5 linked regions of the Oryzias latipes genome follow. The protein of the gene in region 3 binds, or shares a complex with, the protein of the main gene of each other region. Links are inferred from orthologs where the notes say so. Each region holds a gene or a part of one and is shown on either strand. Other genes may lie near its edges.

Region 1 (2,667 bases), on a different chromosome or scaffold from region 3:
TTTGTTGTTTTTGAAGCTAAATGTAACATTTTAGGTTCATTGATGACTCTAAATTGTCCCTATTTGTGGATGTGAGAGTGTGTGCGTGTTGTTGTTGTGTGACTCTGCAACAGGCTGGTAAACTGTTCTGGATGAACCCAAAAATGTCTGGGATAGGCTCCAGCAACACTGTTACCATAAAAAGGATTAGGCAGGTTTGGAAAATGGATGGAGTTCAGTTATCAAGTCTGACTTGCAAATGTTCTGGGAGGAGCTACTATTGGACGTTCTCTTTTAGTTTAGTGCACAACAAATGTAGGTTATCAGATTGTCTCAAATGGCTCTGCTTTCTCCATTCTTTCAGCTGATTGCTCTCCTCCACTGCCGCACTCCCCCCCGCTGTCACAAGGCCCCATCAGCAGCTGGATCGCCATGCGGCGCGTGCAGATCGTCTCCCAGATGACGGAGGCCTGTCTCAACCAAAGCTTGGACGCGCTGCTGGCTCGCTCCATGCTGATGCGCGAGGACTACGAGCTGGTGGTCAACCAGCCGACGCGCACCGCCAAAGTCCGCCAGCTGCTGGACAACTGCCACAAACACGACGAGGACTTCTGCCGCATTGTCGTCCGCAAGCTGTTCGACAACAAGCAAATGGGCCTGAACCCGTACCCCACAGACATCAGCTGTCCCACCTCTGCAGCTGCTGTGCCAAGCGCTCCATCTCTGCCCACCTCCTGCAACATCCCCAGAAACTTTTAGCAGAGGTGGCAGCAAATCAGAGGACCGATGATGGCGTCGTCGCACCACAGCTGACCCTTCCTGGTTCTGTTGTCGTTAGCAATAAAGGTGTAGGTTTTGTCCTTCCGTAAAAATCAAAAGATACAGAATGAGTTGATGATCTTAAATTGTTATGGATTTTGTATTTATACTCCATTTTTTTTTTATTTCCTTGTGTTTTCTCTTATTAAGGCCCATCTTTTTAGATACTCGTGTGCATTTGCCTAAAGGAAGCGCCATGGAGACTGTTACTTTGCTGGCAAACCTGCAGTAAAGAAAAGACCCCAGACAGAGTACAATCTCAAGGCAGCACTTTCCCATGAGTTCACATGAACATTTATAAAACCTCCCTTTACCTGTAAAGTGCACAGTTTGCATTAGAAAATATATCATATTGGTGCAAATTCAATTTTACTGAAGAGAAGACGATTAGTGTGTTCACAAGAATCTCAAGAATATGACAAAAATGTTTGGGGGTTTTTGTGTCAAAGTTAAGCAGCTCACAATAACTACTGTATTTATTACGAAGTAACCTCTCAGTATTTCTATTCATGCTCACATTTTGAGGCTTGACACCCACCCAGATACTTTAGAGCCCTCTTTCTTCCAGAAACTTTTCGTTATTAATCGGCTCTAACTTTTTGGAAGTTGCCAAAACTGCTTTTCTTGTAGCAAACTTTCCTGGAATTGTAATCCAATCATCTTGAAGTTTTGTTTTCCATTATAACAAGAACAACTCCTTTTTAATAAAACAGTGATGGCTTCCATAAAGAAGAACAGTTAAGAGAGTAGCACCAGTATCTGTACAGATAATACACTTTTTGATGTCTATTTTAAGATGTAGCAAAGGAAAACAAAGTTACAGCATTAGGAAAAGAGTTTTGGTTTAATGGAATAGTAAGCAGAATAGGTTAGGTTTATTCTATTCATTGGCTGGCAAAGCAGTATATTTAACACTTTCAATGGAGGGCCTTACTGGTGTCTTCAATGCCTTTGCTTCTTAAAGGAGGTGCTTAAATTTCCAAACGGTAGCTTTTCTGTGTACAATGTTTTCCACCTTTGCCTTTTCCCAACGTGCTCAAATGTGGATTACTGGTTACTAAAGTGCACACTCTGACAAACGTCAGGTTTTCAGCCATCCGTAGTCCCTGAAATGACAACAGAAATTAGGCTTTTTGTGCTTCCAAGTGTTGGATGTGTCCTTAAACTCTGTGCCTCATTGTGACGGCCTTTGTATCTTGTATTATATTTTGTACTGTACCCACATTGTTGTACATCTTTATCTTTATGTGGTAGTTTAACACCTAAGATGTCTGTTGAGGTAAAGTTGCATTTTCTAGTGCGACCTTTTTTCAAATATTCTGTCACTTCTTCCATTAAATGGGAATCGATCACTTTGTAATTTCTGCAATTCTTTTTTTTCTTTATCTGCAATAACAAATCAGGAATCATTAGGCTGCACCCATATGAACCCACTCACACCAGGGGCCTGCCTAAGTTCCCCTTTTTGGAAAAAAAAGGGCATGTTTTAGTGGAATGACTTGGAAGTAACAGAATATCTCCTTTGAAAATCATGTTTGAGTTTAGCAAATTAAAAAAAAGAAAAGTGGTGCTTTATTTGTTGTCCAGGATATACACTGGACCGTCATTTTGAAAAGCGGAAATCCAATACCCAATAATCCAATCTCAAACTTGGAGTCTTGTTTTTAACCCTTGTGCTATCCTAGGCACTTTAACATTGGGAGGTGGGTCATCTAGACCCACTAGACAGTGCGCTAAACCTTTTTTCTTCAGTGATTTGTGAACCTCACTGGTGTCCATGGATGACATTAAATCTTTCCACCTTTATCCACCTTTGTCATGGTAGGGAGAACACGTCAATGTATGGGTGGATTCATCTAAGATAGCACA
Region 2 (4,031 bases), on a different chromosome or scaffold from region 3:
GCAGTATGCTTGTTCTGTATTTAAAAAAAGAAGAGCTCTATGGTCTGTTGTTACTGTGGTAAGATATACGATGAGGTAGTCTAAGCCTCATCCTTTATTTTGCTTTCAGGGTAGGGAAATCTTTTTATTTTGGATAACAATACTAACTGCTAAAAGAGAAAAAAAAATTACCAAAGTATATAAACAAGTATATACTTTATATTTTACATCTGTGTAGTTGAAAATGTGTGATGTTCCTCTGTGAAATCTGTTTAGAAATACAATGACTGAAAAAAAAGAGTAATGTGTTCAAATGTTTGTTTTTGATGTTTCAGTTTTAACCAACAGAAATAAAGAAAGACGATGTAGACAAGTGATTGTCCTTCTGTGTGTTTACTTCCCATGGCGTACTTTGTTATTTTTTCAAATAAATTTGAAAAAATAACCATCAATTAAACTGCAGCAAATCTATGTATAAGTTAGTAAATAAATTAAGTTTACAAAAGGAAAGTTTGACAAGTAAGCATTAATGCCAGTGTTTACTTTTTTTTAATAAACCTTTTAGGCTTTTGTCTTTTTGATTATCTAAAAATAGTACAGATAATCTTTTGAATATTTTGCTAATTTCAAAGTACTTTAGTGAAAATTTTTGCCCATAGGCCTATGTTGTACAGACATGTGTTGGCTACCTGTTAATATATTTTGAATAGCCCCAGTAAATAATATATATCAATGAATGTAAAAAGATAAAACGATTGCCCTTGCGCACGCGCAAGCGACACATGAATCCAAGACGGTTTTCTCAAATGTAATTCACACAGGATCCACAGGGGGGCAACATGACCAAAGAAACCGAATGAAGCCAAAGAAGGCGTTTGTAAAGATACGTTCACATGATGTAGGACAATCCACTAACCTACACTAATGCAATACCTTATAAGTAAAGCAAATGCCGTATAAGTAAAGCAAAAGTAAAATAAAAAAAGGAAAACACTTTTTAAAATCGAAACATCTATCATTCTGGTCGTATATGGTCAAAATTCGCGTTGTCTCCCCTTCTTTTATTGTAAATACCTGTAAATGAAACACACAAATAGTTCCTAATTCAGGTAAATTTACCTTGGAGAGTCATAACATGAAAGACTACCGAAATCTTGATTATTTTTAAAATTTTTGTCGTTGTTGCTTCAAAGTAGACCTTGAAACTTCAGATTTTATGGTTAAAATCAAAACAAAAAATAGAATTTACGATAGCAACCGTAAACGCACCGAGCCCCATCCAACATGGCGGCGCATCGCAGGACTTTGATGCAGAGTGTACGTTAAAAACTGCCCTAAATTACTTTTTTCGACTGATAATGCTCATGTTGGGTCATACATAACTGTTGCTTTTAGTGTGTTTGTTGTCATTTAATTTGCTGCGTGACTTTGTAACATTCGGTGTTTATTCTAACCTTAAAGCTGTGTCAAAAGTTAGCTACTTCAGATGAGCCAAGTGCTTTGCTAACCGCTAACTAGCTACATTTTCTAATTCTGTTGGGGACCTACAGTAACCAAGTTTATGTCTGTCATAGGAATATAGCAGACGGGATCAAATGTAGGAAATTGTTCTTGATTTTTAAGGAATTGTTGTTTTTAGGGCCTATCATTTTGCAATAGTAGTCCTTCCGAATACTAACTTAGCCCGGTTGTTTGGTCGTATGTTGTTTACATTCGGTTTCAGACTGAGTTATATTTCATTTTTTGTGAAATCTTTTGGGGGGAAAAACTAAAAAATATATAGTATAAGTATACCGAAAACAGCAAAAAAAGTTGACATTTATTTCGAAAATTGTTTATAGATAAACCCTACGATCTGAAAGCGTTTGTCTTTTTAAACTTTTGATGTCTGGAATTAATTGAATTTTTTTTTTTAAAGCTGTTAAATAGTTTTGAAGGCATGGTATTGGTATTGGTGCCAATATAATTTTGCATAGTTTTTATCATATAAACGTTGTAAAAGATGTATTGAATGAAGGTGAGCTTTTGAACACTTTTTCACAATTTTCTCCCAGCAGCATCAGAGTTGGACGGATGACCTGCCCCTCTGTCAGATGTGTGGGGTCGGCGCCGCCCCAAACTGTGTGTACGGCCCAGATGGCAAAGGGACTCAGAGCCACCCCATGGAGGACGGACACCTCAGACTGAGGTAAATAATCCCAGGAAAGAAAGGATCTTAAATTAGAAATGTTAAGAGCGAGAGAATAAACACTTTATTGAAAGTTCATATCTCCATTCTGAAGTCAGCTTCTTTTTTTGTCACTTCAGGTTTTGGCGCTAAGCTTTTTGTTTGAAATCTTATGATAATTACTAGGGACCTCCTACGTGATCAGAAGCTGGGCCTGCATAGTTTCAGACTCGATTGGAATCAGATGTTCCATCCAGATTTGGGATCATTATTATTATTATTTCTGCTATATCAATTACCACTATTTTATTACAATTACGCTATTTATTTTAAGCTTATTATTGTAGATAAATTCTCTTCTGGAAGTCTGCATATCATGAACACACCATGACATTTTGTTGCTGTAAAGCGCAGCAGAAAATGGCAGCAGTTTGAGCAGGAGACACAGACAAGCAGTTTCATAAAGGTAGAGAGATATTAACAACTTTAGTCTTCTAGGCTCAAAACTCTTAATAAACGATTTAAACTGACAGCAAGGTTGGGTTTTTGTTTCTTTTTAATGAGAGTGGTTCTGCCTATTTTGCTGACAGAGAGATTACAGTGAGACAGCTGCCAAGGGGCCGTCTACAAAGTGCAAGCCCTGGGAAAAAGGGATTTAAAAAGAATAAAAATGTATGCTTTCCAGAAAAACAACCAAAACAAATACCGTAAATTCCGGACTACAAAGCGCACCCGATTACAAGCCGCACCCACCCATTTTCACGTGTTTAATTAGTTTTATACATACACAAGCCGTGTCAGAGTTCAAGCCGCGCATGTGTTAGGCGATATTGTCATCCTGACAGATCAAGGCCAGCATCCCAGAGTGAGTGCAATTTATTAGCACATTGTGGGTGGCTCATGTATTTGAGTGTATCGATATCTGTCAAACAGCATGGACCTCTATTCTGTTCACAAGTTCCTCAGTTATGGTGTTTTTATTTCATTTTTTTTTTTACTTATTGACAATCTAGGTATCATACTTAAAATTACAAACAGTAACCATATAATCAACATTACATCCCTCAGTTATGAAGAGGAAATTTACATCCGCGATTCCACATTTCCCATGGGTCTTAGGGGCTAAAGGCGGGGCCAATGCCCGGCTCGCCATTCTGTTGTACGTGTTTAAGAATGAGCAAGTATCAGCAGTGCATGGAGGGGTGAACGGGTACAGCTCTCCTTCCGCTTGTGTCGCGGCAGCGTTATGGGAGTAACAGGGCTGGTTAAAAAACACACCGGTAAAATACAGCAGCGGGGACTGAAAAGCGCGCGCCTCAGCGTGATACGCGCGCCTCAGTGCGGCGCGTGCGGCAGAATTCAGAAGCCTCTGCACTCCGCGGACGCCTCTGCGCTCCGCTCCCGCGCGCTCCTTGTCTCCCCTTCCTATCTACTCCGACACCTCTGGCCAGGGCGGCTTCAAGGAGGAGCACTTCGTCCCCGTTGCGCCGGTGGATGGAGCAAATCGTTTCTGTGCAAAGCAATCGGACTGAATACTGTACGTTTTGTGTATGAGGGGCGGGTGCGTTGTTACGTGTGGGAGCCTTCAGACTGCCATCGGCCCCGCAGCTCAATCAGCAGGAGAAGATGTCTCCAGCTCACACGGAGGCTGTGAGTTTTTCAAAGCAAAATTCCGCTTTTACGGTTTCCTTAGAAACCGTAAATGGAGTGTAAATTCACTCCATGCGCTGTTCTCTCCGTCACGCAGCAAACCGGCTTTTCCAAACCCGTTGGTGACGGTGGACTTTTTTACGCTGCTTTTAACGATTGCTTTTAACTTGAAAGCTTCATCATATTGTAGCGGCGATCTGGTGCACGTTGGGTCTAATGGCACCAAAGGATTCTG
Region 3 (4,271 bases):
AAGTGGCAGAGAATGAGAGAGCTAAGATCCTGTGGGACTCCCAGATCCAAACTGACAAGATGGTCATGGAGAACCAACCAGACACTGTAGAGGTGGACAAAGAAAAGAGGAAAGTCTGGAAGAACTGGAGAAAGCTTTAAGGTTAATTTGACGGTGGTGCCTGTGGTTATCCGATCACTCAGGACAGTAACCCCTAAGGTGGAGGAGTGGCTGTAATGTTAGAAATGACCAGAAGAGTGGCTAAAGCAGATCCCTGGAGAAACATCTCAGTCCAGAAAGGTTCAGTCCTAGGAAAGATACTGCACAGAACCCTCAAGCTCCCAGGCCTCTAGTAGAGGACCCAAGCTTGGGTGAGAAACTTGCGGGGGTGTGAAAAGAGTGTTTAATTTATACCATGTAATTCCCCATTAACCCACATCAAATAAGGGGAAGTTGGATGCTTGCCTTGTCACCTAAACAGCAAGTCTCACTCAGCATGGGGGTTTCTTACCAAACTGCACAGAAACTTCGTACTTTCCCTTTTTCACTGCTTCTTGAAGTGAATTCATCAAATTGTGTTTGGTGGCTTCAACTTTTTTTCTAGTGGTTTACCTGTACTTTTCTGTATTTTTTTTAACCAAAGAAATGTCACTGAAGATTTGTTTGAACAAATGGATGTTTATTAAAACCCTATTTATGACTTCTGCCTAATACTATTCCCCTATTCCACATTGGTTATGTTTTGGAAGCTGTTTAAAATGTTTTATTTTTTATTTCATGTGACCAAATGTAAATATATCTAAAGTTGTATAGTTTGGATGCTGCGTGTCTGACAGGGCAGCCTCACAGCCGGCTGAACTTAAAATGACTCAGAACACACTGAAATTTGAACCACTGTCCCACCAACTTTTCAGAAGTTAAAGTGTGATCTTAAAGAAAACTGCATCCTTCATAATAAAAGCATAGACTAAAACCCACTTCAAAATATGTGGCATTTTGTATTCTTGCTCCAAACGTTGAAAAACAGAAAAAAAGCTAAATTTGAATAAATTAATCATATAAATGTCGCATTTGCTTTGAGACATAAGGGACACATTTATAAATGTTTTTTACTCATTTAGTTTCTTTTGTCGACAGTGTATTTTACTGATTTTAAACAGCATATTTGTAAGGGAAACCCCCCCTGGGAAGAAAAAAAAAACCTAGAGATTTGCTTAAAAGTCGCTTTTCGGGACTGCGTGGTTTTTTTTCTCTCTCTTTTTTTTTTCAAATCTACGTTTCAACACATACTGCATAAGTTACAAAAACATATCTTTCTTTAGCAATAACATCTTCGGGCTTGAGCTGTTAAGCATGTTGAAATTTTTCTGTTTAAGTGACAATGTTTTATATTTTTTTCCATAACGAAACTGAAACAGAACCTCTGGAATCTTCTCATTGAACCCCCACTTTCTTTGCGTAATCGACGATGCGCATGCGCATTGTCAAAGACTACGCTGTTCTTACTTCCTGACTTTGGGAGGTCACGCCAAAGGAATTCTTCTACGCCGATTTCCTTCACAGGGCGATCTCATCAAGGACCTTTTCAAACCACGAACCGAAGACCTCCCTACACGAGCAAAGAAATGCAAGTATTTTATGTTTTTAGAGCCGCTGGTAAAGTAATCGCGCGCTTAGCGAACAAGGCTAACTAGCTAGCTAGTCAAATGTTACATGAAATGTAAACAAACTATAGTTACAGCAAAGGTACGCACTTTTAAATAATAATTTGACTCCTTATGTAAGATTCCTTTATCCACTGTAAAACACCAGCAGTTGTCTTTTTTCTTTTATATTAATTTTTAATCCGTGATGTGTAGCCCTTTAAATGATGTGGGTGGAATCTTTGTGAACAGAGCAAAGTATGCAGTTGATAGTTCGTAGAAACACAACAATGACGGCATACGCATTTGTCGCTCACTGGGCGGTTAGAGATGTTAATTTCAGTTTTGCTGTCGCAAAGACAGCAAAACTGTCTTTGCGACAGCATATTTACTGTAGTAAATATGGCCGTTAGCTTTTGATTTGATCACTTGATCACTGAGGCAGAAAAACGTGACAGTGCAAAGATCACATGCAGTCCTCCACCACCAGCAGATAAAATCCCATGTCACAGCTAAATGTGCACCAAATAGTTCCACGTACAGCGTGTTTGTCAGAAGGAGTAATGCAGCATATGACTGTCCTAATGTGTGGCAACAATATCACACAAGAGTCTCAACCTCCTGTAGAAAACAGTGATTGTTTTTGACTGTGCTGCTAGTACATTTCTGGATAATCTAACAAACATATGTGGCAGATCGCTGAAACCTATTAACAGTGTTCCAACATTGTGTTTTGATGAATCAATGATCTGATTAGCTCTTTAAGAATGGTGAACAGTACATCTGCTACACCCTTTGGCATATAAGTTAACTACAGGAGCCGCCCTCGTGCCCATCCCTTGTGCCTTCACTAAAACATTCATTTTTTCAACTGATATCCATCTGGTTTCCTGAGTTACCGGCTTAAAAGAACTTTAAAGAGCCTAGCTATGTGGACAGATTATGACTATGAATGGAATGGACATTCCATACCATTCTATCTACACACACTCTCAAAAAATGTCCAACTGAAAGATATTTGACTTCTACTTTCTGTTTTTGACAAATAATTTCCTCTGGGAGGTGACTAGGCTTGAATAAAAGTCATCACACCTTTAGTATGTGTCATGAATAAGAATTGCATGAAACACAGGCGTGCTGATGCAATGTTTATTAGCACGATGTGATGTCAAAGGTGGACATAAAGATAGGGAAGCTGGTTAACTTCCAGAATACTTTATATTTTTGACAAATCTGAATGACTGAGGAGGACTGAAGCTAGCAGGAGAACATGGCAACAGAGAGCCCTCGGCAACATGGAGAGAAGCGGCGTTGCTCCATGCCAACAGTCCAGCCAACAACTCAGAGGCGAATTTCTAATGATCTACTGCTGCTCTGCAGAAAAATCTGGGCACTTTTTTGGACAAAAATGGCATAGTGGTAATTAGAAGACCCCTGGGAACACTTTAAAAATGGCTCAAAAGATGATCGGAGTAGGTCTTTAAGTAAAAAAAAAGAGATTCCCCCATGATCTATTATTCAAGGTTCTACACTTCTAACTCAAACCTTTTTCATGTTTCTTTTCTTTTAGATTTTGTGTTTACCGCCACAGCTACTTGTTTCAATGATGTGTGACCCCAGCCAAGATGGGAATTGGGAATCGGACTCCACAATTGATTACTCTAAGATAAACAATCGTCTGGAATCTTTCTACAACTCCAGCTGGAGCAAGAAGGTGTCACCGCTGCAACTGGCTGAAGCTGGCTTCCTCTTCACTGGAGTCTCTGACCGCGTACGCTGCTTCAGTTGCCAGAAAACGGTAGAAAACTGGTCCCAGGAAGATCAACCAGTGGACAGACACATACAGGTAATTGTTTATGTTGAAAAAAAAAATAGTTTAGAAATGTTGGGCAATTCTTTTTCAACTTTTTAAATAATAAAGTTCAACATTTTCCTTCCATGCAGGTTTCCCCATCGTGCACGTTTCTCCGCTGCACACACTTCAACCGTTTTAAGTCAAATCCCCATATGCCCCTCAGCAATGGGGGCCTTCATGATGGAACTGAAGGATATATAGATTACCAGTTGAGAACAAGAGCCATTGTTGATGAGACTCCATATCCACGGAACCGGAATATGAAAAGCGAAGAAGCCCGCCTGGAAACTTTCTCTTCGTGGCCGCGTTCTGCTCCAGTCAGACCTCGAGATTTGGCTCAGGCAGGTTTGTTCTACTTAGGAAAGGAGGATAAAGTGGAGTGTTTCAGTTGTGGAGGCAAGCTAAGTGGCTGGAAACCTGGGGACACCCCCTGGAACGAGCATGAAAAACATTTTTCCCACTGCTTCTACATCCTTGGTCATGACGTGGGAAATGTGCCTCTGGAAAGAGATGGAGGAGAAAATGAAGAGACTGGCAGCAGAAACCAACATCGCACACCTGTCAATTTGGAAAATCTTGACGAGCGACTCGGCACTTTTGCACGCGTCCAGCACCCGATTGACCACGAGCTGCTTGCTAAAGCTGGCTTCTACAGCAAAGGTAAAGCATGTTTGTTCAAACATCCCCTTTACAAATGAGATGTACCGGTAATATTTTAATTTTTCTAAATCTAAATGTTTGTTCATAATATTTTTTTATTATTATTCTAGGAGAAGGAGACGAAGTGATCTGTT
Region 4 (4,166 bases), on a different chromosome or scaffold from region 3:
ACAGGAAGTCAGCTTCCACTGGGATCTTGGTGGTGTCTTCTTTGGAATCTGCTTCAATGCCATCATCCAGTTCGGTGCCTCTGCAAGCCTTTCAGTGTCCACAAACCCAAACCAAACATTTTCACAGACTGATAGGAAAATGATGGTGGGCAACAAATGAGAGGCTTTGGTCGTACCTGGATGAAAAACAGTTTGGGCTTTCCCACCAGTGATTTGCAGTGATCCCCTCGGAACAGGGACGTCAGAGTTTTGAGTTCTATCGAACCATCCGTGCCGAAGAAAACGCCCTCGTCGCCATGACTCAAAAGGATGCAGACGAAAGAGGCGGAGTCACTGTGGTCCATCCTTGATACTAACAAAAATAAATCCAAAGCAATAAAATATACCAAAAGGATTATAAATATCTATATGAATAAGCACTGGAATGTTTAAAAGTAGCATTTTGAAGAGAGTGTGAATCATACTAACCATCAGTCAAAAGCTGTTTAATCTGTTTAACTGTCTGGTCATTGTAAATCTTCACTCTATAGCCCAACTTTGAAAACACTTTCATTGCAGAGGCTGCATCGATGTCTGTACCGTTTCGCTGATTCATACCTAACAGAACAAAATGGTGTAAAAAAAAAAGTCAGCAACAATTGGTTTAGTAACAAAACAAAAAAGAATTTGAACCGCACAAATTTCCTTAAAAAACCTTCAAACAGTGGTCGAATATGAGTGGTCTCATATTAGAGTGATTTAATATGTGCAAATTTATTTCCACAGCTCTTGTTGTGCATTAAAAGTCACTTTTTTGCCTTAATCAGACGCTCTTTTGTCACAACTAGGCTGTAACAAAACAAAAAAAAATATATGATTATGTTTTACAAAACTGTCTAACATCTTCCTGGACACTGAAAAGTTGAATACACAGAGCAAAGCTGAATCTCTTAATGTATGTTCTGGATAAATCATGCTTTTTAAATCACATTTAGGCTTAATATATGTTGTATATGTGCTACTGCAGGTCTGACTAGGTTCCTGCTGCATTTCAGATAAGTTATTTTAAGAACTGTAGTCCTGATAGATTATTTTTTGTTTAATATTTGTACATTCTATTTAACAAAGCAGAACATTATCCGTTTTTGACTGTTTATGAATTACTACACCATAGTTTTGTACAGTCTTATAAAACAGCTGAACCTAAACATTAAATCTAAAGCTTCATGCTCATCCTGGCAGGCCACAGAGAAAAATGAAACACTTAAGGTAGACAAGGTTCCATTATATTTCTGCTTTGCCTTAATTTCATTAGCAAATGTTACAAAGTAAAGGGGCCAAACCAATCAAAACCATCAAAATTTTAGAAGTGAGAGACTAATGTTTATCACTGACAGTGTATGTTTTTCCTCAACATCTGTGAAAATATATTTTCTTGGATAACTAAACTATTTCTGACAAGTCTTCAGTTTAGCCTGTAATAATAGGAGCTGGGATAACCACTTCAATATAGAATCATTTTCCATGCCAGAGTACAGGAAAATAGAAATAAAAACAGGGATCACCGGTTCCTCGATCAAAATTCTTGTTGTTAATGATGATGCAGAGGCCGATGGTGGGAAAGTTGAGGCTGTATCTAAAGCTGTGAGAGGAGGGCTTCCCATCGACGTCCATGCGATCAGGAGCAGGTGAAGCCCCTGCTGCCCTGCAACACAACATAACACAAAATCAACTTTACCTAAACGATATAAATCGAAACAGGAAACAATCAAAAGGACAAGTGGAGGGTTCAAAGCCACAAGAGACACGGTAGTTATTTTCAAATGTTACATTTAAAAACAGGCACTAATAGGCTTCAAAAAAATTATTTTTGTTTGAAGTGTCCTCTTCTACTGACTTACTGCACCATAAATTACAGACATATTAATAATAATAATAAAAAGAAAATCAACAAGAAAAGTCAGATAAAAATTCACTGATCTGTAGTTCTGGGAAGAATACCGCAAGAACAAAGTGTTTGTTTTAGGAGGTAACTGTCTCTTTTCTTCTGTCATGTTGCAGAGTACAGCAGAGCAGGATTCCTGCATGTTTCCCTACATATTTTGCTCTGTCATGCTTCAATTGGCTGGACACACCTGATCCAGGTGATCAGCCGTGAGTATCATGGCAATGCTATCTGGAAACCATGCAGACACCCCGGACACTTAAGGCCTGGAGTTCCCCAGCCCTAAAACAATCATGGCCTCGTTTTTTACCCCCAAAGATATCTCCATTTTCTGTTGAAGACACTCTCCTTTAAAAAAAAAAGCTCTTTTATTTTATTTTATCCATTTGTTGGTTTGTATTGTTCTTGTTTCACGCGGTGAAAAGTGCTATAGAGAGGCTAAAAACAAGCACACATGCATACAAATCATGTACTTCACCTCAATCATTTCCTGTATTTTCTAAAACATCTGCTGAATAAAATGGAAAAACAAAAACAAAATGCACCAAAGGCCTCTGTGTACACACTGACACTTTTCTCATTTGTTCGGCAAACAAACGTATAGTTTACGAGATAATTAAAAAAAAAAAAAGTTTACGAAATAATTTGTTCCCGGAAGTCCGAATACGTGAATGGGTTTCCAAGTTCACCGAGGTCCATAAATAAGAGGTGACAGAAACATTATTGACTCACAGTTCTCCATTGTCTTTCCTTGCGTCTGTAGAATCCTCTCCTGGTCGATTTGACGCCATATTTTCCTCTAAGTTAAGTTGAACGACTGTAATAAATTAAATGAACCGCCCTGTGTGTCGTGCAGTAGTAAACTAACACAGCGGTGTCCTTTACAAGACAACACTACGCTGCTCTCACAGCTTGTAGCATCAGCTAGCTAAGGAACCGACCTGGTTAATAAACAAAAGGGTTCTGACATGCGCAGACGCGCCATCAGCTCACGGGCGCCCCCTATTGGAACTATGCCCCAAAGACAATTAAATAAAGATTAGATTTTAAAACGAGTAAGAATTTGATATGTCTACAGTTTAGAATTTGCCCAAATGGAAAAGGTTCGATATTTACTTGCCAAAAACAAACTGATTCCAGGATACTATTTTCCAGGATAATATGCAGAGACAATACACCATAAAGTGTACTTAAACCTAAGCTTAAGAAAACATTTTTAAACACACTCATCTTACACATAAATAAATGATGGCACACACCCTTCTAGTTTTGTAAATAACTGTAGTTTTATTTACACAGTAAATACAAGGGCATTATCAACAAAACCAAATAATACTTTAACCCTCAACTACTGCTACCACACACAAACACAACACACAAGGTGATCTTTCTCCTCCAACAGTCTGTACTGATTAAATTACAAAGGCAAGGCCTCCCTTTAAAAATTAATAAACCATTTTAAATTGTAATTGGATAGTTTGTTGGGAAAATGAACACCACAAACAGGCTTGAGACAACCCAACCTGAAAGAAACAAGAAAAAAAAGTGAATGCTTGAAACGATAGTCAACTCTCCTAAAGATACCACTATTTCAGTTCCTAAAATTAAAAGGTTGATCACTTTTATTGCTCTAACTTTGAACAGAAAGTTACTGCATAATTCAAGGTGACATCTCTGCAAGTCCATAATATGTGAAAATGAATTAACTACCCACAAAAAAAGGAAAACATTCATTTTTGGGATCGCAAACGTAAAACCAGGAGCTATGACAAAAACAACATTTACAACATCTTAAAGTACACAACATCCGTATAGCACGGTGAAAATCTGTAAATGTTAGATTAAAAATGTCAATTCTAACTCTTGGGAATAAATTAAATACCGTTTAAAATGAAAAACTTTTTGCTGCACACAAAAGCAAAGGTTACATTAAACGAGGGAACTCAAATGCAACTGTTTTGGTGTTCTAGATTGATTTCTAGACCATCTTTTCACCATTTTATTAAGAATTTGCTTATTTCTTATAATTTTTAGTGACTTATTTGTACAAGTGCACTTGCATTTAGGACAAAAACGTTTTTGTCTGCTTTAAATTCCTGACATATTGCCAAACAAAATGTAGTTTTTACTGCTTTAGTGCTACCTTATCTCATTTAATCCACTTTGTATCACAGCTATAAATTGAGGCACATCTTAGTTAAAATCTACAAATGCAGCACATTACAGAAGAAGAATCACTCAA
Region 5 (2,840 bases), on a different chromosome or scaffold from region 3:
ATGAAGAACAGCTGTTTTTCCCGTTAAGTGAGTGTTTGTTTCCCTCTCCAGGCTTGTAGAGGCTCAGAATTCGATGAAGGCGTCCAGACAGATTCTGGTCCTCCAAACGACACCATTGAGACCGACGCCAATCCCAGTCACAAGATCCCCGTGGAGGCGGACTTCCTCTTTGCATACTCCACGGTGCCAGGTTGGTTTGATCTTTTTGTGCTCCATCTGGCTGTCGTTGTCTGAAAGTCACGTTGGGGGGGGGGGGGGGGGGGGCGCGCTGCAGTTGAACTCATGGACTGTCACTCATGCTGCTTCCGTAGGATACTACTCCTGGAGGAACCCCGGCCGCGGGTCCTGGTTTGTCCAGGCACTCTGCAATGTCCTCAACGAGTTCGGGAAGCAGCTGGAGATCATGCAGATCCTGACCCGGGTCAACTACATGGTGGCCAACAACTTTGAGTCATGGTCCGAGGACCCCCGCTACAGCGAGAAGAAGCAGATCCCCTGCGTGGTCTCCATGCTGACCAAAGAACTGTATTTCAATTGACCGTCCACCTGTACTGCATGGCGCACTCCCACTGACTGGCTGACAAGACTGACCGTTTCAGGGGCGGACTCTTTAATTGAAATATTCAGGGATAATGGGCCCAAAAACAAGCCCTCTGTGAGAAAATACGGTGGCGTTTGTTCATCCAAGGTGAAAGCTTTCCTTCAGGTTCCTCTTCAGACCAATGGCGTCACAATCGGTCCGATCTCTGTCGACGGGTGAAATATCCATGTTGTTCTGCCAGCCCATAAGATCCGCTGCCAGGTCTTGTGGCTTTGGGGGAATCATATCTGAGTATGCGTCATCTCCGTTTCATTCTTTTAACAGTTCTGTTCAATAAGACGTGACATTGTAGGCAAGCAAAATGCAACAAAAATCCCTAATTACAGGAAAATCACCGGAAGTTCAGTTGACATTAAAATGTTTTTGCGATTTGGGCTTCATCTCTGATGAGGAAAACCTCATTTCCTTCCAGAAAACTTTATTTTAGCTTTGATTATGTCAGTGGAGGGTTTGTCATCACACCAATTAAGATATTTTTCACTTCTGCTGCATAAGAAGTTGAAAAACTATAAAATGACTGTTGGCATTTAGCACAAAAGCAGGCGCTAAAACATTCAATTTCTTATTTTTAAATGAAATCTTTACAAACTGAAGTTATGGGAAATTACCTAATTGTTTAGAATGAAATTTGTGAACTTTGTGGGATTTCATATATGCCCAAATACAGCCCCCCCCCCCCCCCCCCCCAAAAAAAAAAAAAGTTCAATGCATTCATTTTATTTTGATAGAGCTAAAGAACAGGAAGTGCTACGATGAAACATACATCTCAAGTGTTCGTTCTTGTATCATAGACCGCAGAAATAGAAAGCCCAGCTGAGACCAAAAGCACAATTGCAGCATCATTTTGCCGTATATTAGTGTTGTAGTTTGTCTTTAGTGTACACTGCAGGTACAAACCAACAAAGCGCTCCAATTCGGAATTATTTAAAAGCCAAAGATACTAAAATAATGCTTTACATATTTAAGCACTTTGTGCACTTTGCTTAACTTAACACAAGTTTTAGGCTAAAGTTTTATCGATTTTTCTCATTTTTGAGCACTTTGGTTTACTTTTTCGCTGTAGGAAACTATGATAAACGACAAGTTTTAGGCTAGAATTGTATTGTATCTAATTGATAGTTAACATTTAAAAACAAAAGTTTAAGATTCTGCAGTTTTATTGTCCCAGTGTGTCAACCACAGAGGCAGCTATTACTGGCAGTGACAAGTCTGAACTTACCAAATCCATACTCCTCCTGCGATGTAGCTATTCTAAAAACAAAAACAAAAAATGCACGTATCAGTAGCCTGTTGGGGTATATCTTTAGTTTTTGTTTGCTTTCCACTTTTGACTGCTTTTATGTTTTTAGCAAGTAGTTTTAAACCATAATTTTGGTCATTTTTAATGAATAATTGCGCGACGAGCCGATTCTTGTCCAGTGCAGCCCCCTGAATTGTCTGGACACCAGAAGACGTTAGGGCTGACCTGAGCTTAAAAAAAAAAAGTTTGATTAACTTGTTTGGAATGGAATTGAAAGAGGAAATTAATTATTTTTTGTTGCAAAATTTTGAATGCTTTCTGCTGTTTCATGCTGTTGTCCTCAGGAATAAAAAAATGAATTAAGTCAATTAAAAAATGATGACTTTGACAGGAAAGCTTAAACTGGCCCAGTTTGTAAACTTTGGAACAAAAGTATGCTTATGTGAGCATTTCTTGTAATAAAAATACATTTATTACACAAAGGAATTGTTTCTTAAATCTTATTAAGTTGGAATATACAAAAAAACATTTCTATTTGGAAAGTTACCAAAATTGTTAAAATACAAATAAAAATATTGCAGTCGTTTTTTTTTTTATTTCCACTTGTTACAGATAAAAAAACTGTTGTTTTAAACAAATTAATTAGATCTACAAACCCTTTATTTATTTATTTATTTTTTTCATGAACCAAAGAGCAACAATGTGGTTCCAGAAGTTTTTGTTCGCTGTACTGGCTTTGTTAGTGTGTTGTTGTTGTTGTTGTTATTGATTGATTGCTGTACGAAACAAAAACTTGCACCACAACATTGCACTCATGATAACTGGGAAAGCCTCTTGGACCTGGAAATAACTGCAGATTTTACATAAAACTTCTCAGCTGCTTATCGTTCAAATCGTCAAGAATTTCATGCAGCCTGAACGTTTACTGTTCAAGACTGGAAAACAAATATTTTTCTGGGAAATTCTAGGTTTGAGAAAAAAAATCTGGTTTGCAGTAAT

What was found.
Region 1: the proteins of E3 ubiquitin-protein ligase XIAP (region 3) and ripk2 are in contact, whole or in part, in a cryo-EM structure (PDB 8AZA), measured with the Homo sapiens proteins. The link is inferred for Oryzias latipes from reciprocal best matches to the Homo sapiens genes XIAP and RIPK2. Residues at the interface, in NP_001158.2 of Homo sapiens: Lys208, Asn209, Trp210, Glu211, Pro212, Cys213; in NP_003812.1 of Homo sapiens: His136, Asn137, Met138, Thr139, Pro141, Ile208, Asp278, Glu279, Arg280, Ser282, Lys285.
Region 2: the proteins of E3 ubiquitin-protein ligase XIAP (region 3) and tab1 are in contact, whole or in part, in a crystal structure (PDB 2POP), measured with the Homo sapiens proteins. The link is inferred for Oryzias latipes from reciprocal best matches to the Homo sapiens genes XIAP and TAB1. Residues at the interface, in NP_001158.2 of Homo sapiens: Phe33, Ala34, Ser38, Gly39, Pro41, Ser43, Ala44, Ser45, Thr46, Arg49, Tyr75, Ser78, Ala79, Val80, Gly81, Arg84, Phe92, Ile93, Gly95, Tyr97, Leu98; in NP_006107.1 of Homo sapiens: Glu99, Ala100, Arg103, Thr201, Gln202, Leu203, Glu212, Asp213, Phe216, Arg217, Gln220, Arg241, Glu269, Glu271, Ile272, His273, Ala275, Gln276, Pro277.
Region 4: the proteins of E3 ubiquitin-protein ligase XIAP (region 3) and caspase 3B are in contact, whole or in part, in a crystal structure (PDB 1I3O), measured with the Homo sapiens proteins. The link is inferred for Oryzias latipes from reciprocal best matches to the Homo sapiens genes XIAP and CASP3. Residues at the interface, in NP_001158.2 of Homo sapiens: Ala137, Leu140, Leu141, Gly144, Gln145, Val146, Val147, Asp148, Ile149, Ser150, Asp151, Thr152, Ile153, Tyr154, Asn226, Leu231, Gly232, Arg233, Asn234; in NP_001341706.1 of Homo sapiens: Tyr204, Trp206, Arg207, Asn208, Ser209, Lys210, Asp211, Trp214, Gln217, Lys242, Thr245, Glu246, Phe247, Glu248, Ser249, Phe250, Phe252, Thr255, Phe256.
Region 5: the proteins of E3 ubiquitin-protein ligase XIAP (region 3) and casp7 are in contact, whole or in part, in a crystal structure (PDB 1I51), measured with the Homo sapiens proteins. The link is inferred for Oryzias latipes from reciprocal best matches to the Homo sapiens genes XIAP and CASP7. Residues at the interface, in NP_001158.2 of Homo sapiens: His136, Ala137, Leu140, Leu141, Gly144, Gln145, Val146, Val147, Asp148, Ile149, Ser150, Asp151; in NP_001218.1 of Homo sapiens: Tyr230, Trp232, Arg233, Ser234, Pro235, Gly236, Arg237, Trp240, Glu274, Ser275, Gln276, Asp279, His281, Phe282.

Annotation. Positions count from the first base shown.
Region 1 is NC_019875.2:13,793,080-13,795,746, forward strand, and holds the end of ripk2 (receptor-interacting serine/threonine-protein kinase 2), read left to right. Parts: intron 1-343; coding exon 344-738; 3' UTR 739-2,158; downstream 2,159-2,667.
Region 2 is NC_019859.2:24,888,982-24,893,012, reverse strand, and holds the start of tab1 (TGF-beta-activated kinase 1 and MAP3K7-binding protein 1), read left to right. Parts: upstream 1-1,222; 5' UTR 1,223-1,263; coding exon 1,264-1,296; intron 1,297-2,033; coding exon 2,034-2,167; intron 2,168-4,031. UniProt on the Homo sapiens protein: Key adapter protein that plays an essential role in JNK and NF-kappa-B activation and proinflammatory cytokines production in response to stimulation with TLRs and cytokines.
Region 3 is NC_019868.2:22,022,647-22,026,917, forward strand, and holds the start of E3 ubiquitin-protein ligase XIAP, read left to right. Parts: upstream 1-1,455; 5' UTR 1,456-1,606; intron 1,607-3,192; 5' UTR 3,193-3,225; coding exon 3,226-3,468; intron 3,469-3,566; coding exon 3,567-4,137; intron 4,138-4,247; coding exon 4,248-4,271.
Region 4 is NC_019859.2:19,919,046-19,923,211, forward strand, and holds the start of caspase 3B, read right to left. Parts: upstream 2,817-4,166; 5' UTR 2,716-2,816; coding exon 2,657-2,715; intron 1,685-2,656; coding exon 1,545-1,684; intron 598-1,544; coding exon 469-597; intron 353-468; coding exon 177-352; intron 89-176; coding exon 1-88. UniProt on the Homo sapiens protein: Thiol protease that acts as a major effector caspase involved in the execution phase of apoptosis. Following cleavage and activation by initiator caspases (CASP8, CASP9 and/or CASP10), mediates execution of apoptosis by catalyzing cleavage of many proteins.
Region 5 is NC_019877.2:5,366,799-5,369,638, forward strand, and holds the end of casp7 (caspase-7), read left to right. Parts: intron 1-51; coding exon 52-190; intron 191-311; coding exon 312-538; 3' UTR 539-2,324; downstream 2,325-2,840. UniProt on the Homo sapiens protein: Thiol protease involved in different programmed cell death processes, such as apoptosis, pyroptosis or granzyme-mediated programmed cell death, by proteolytically cleaving target proteins.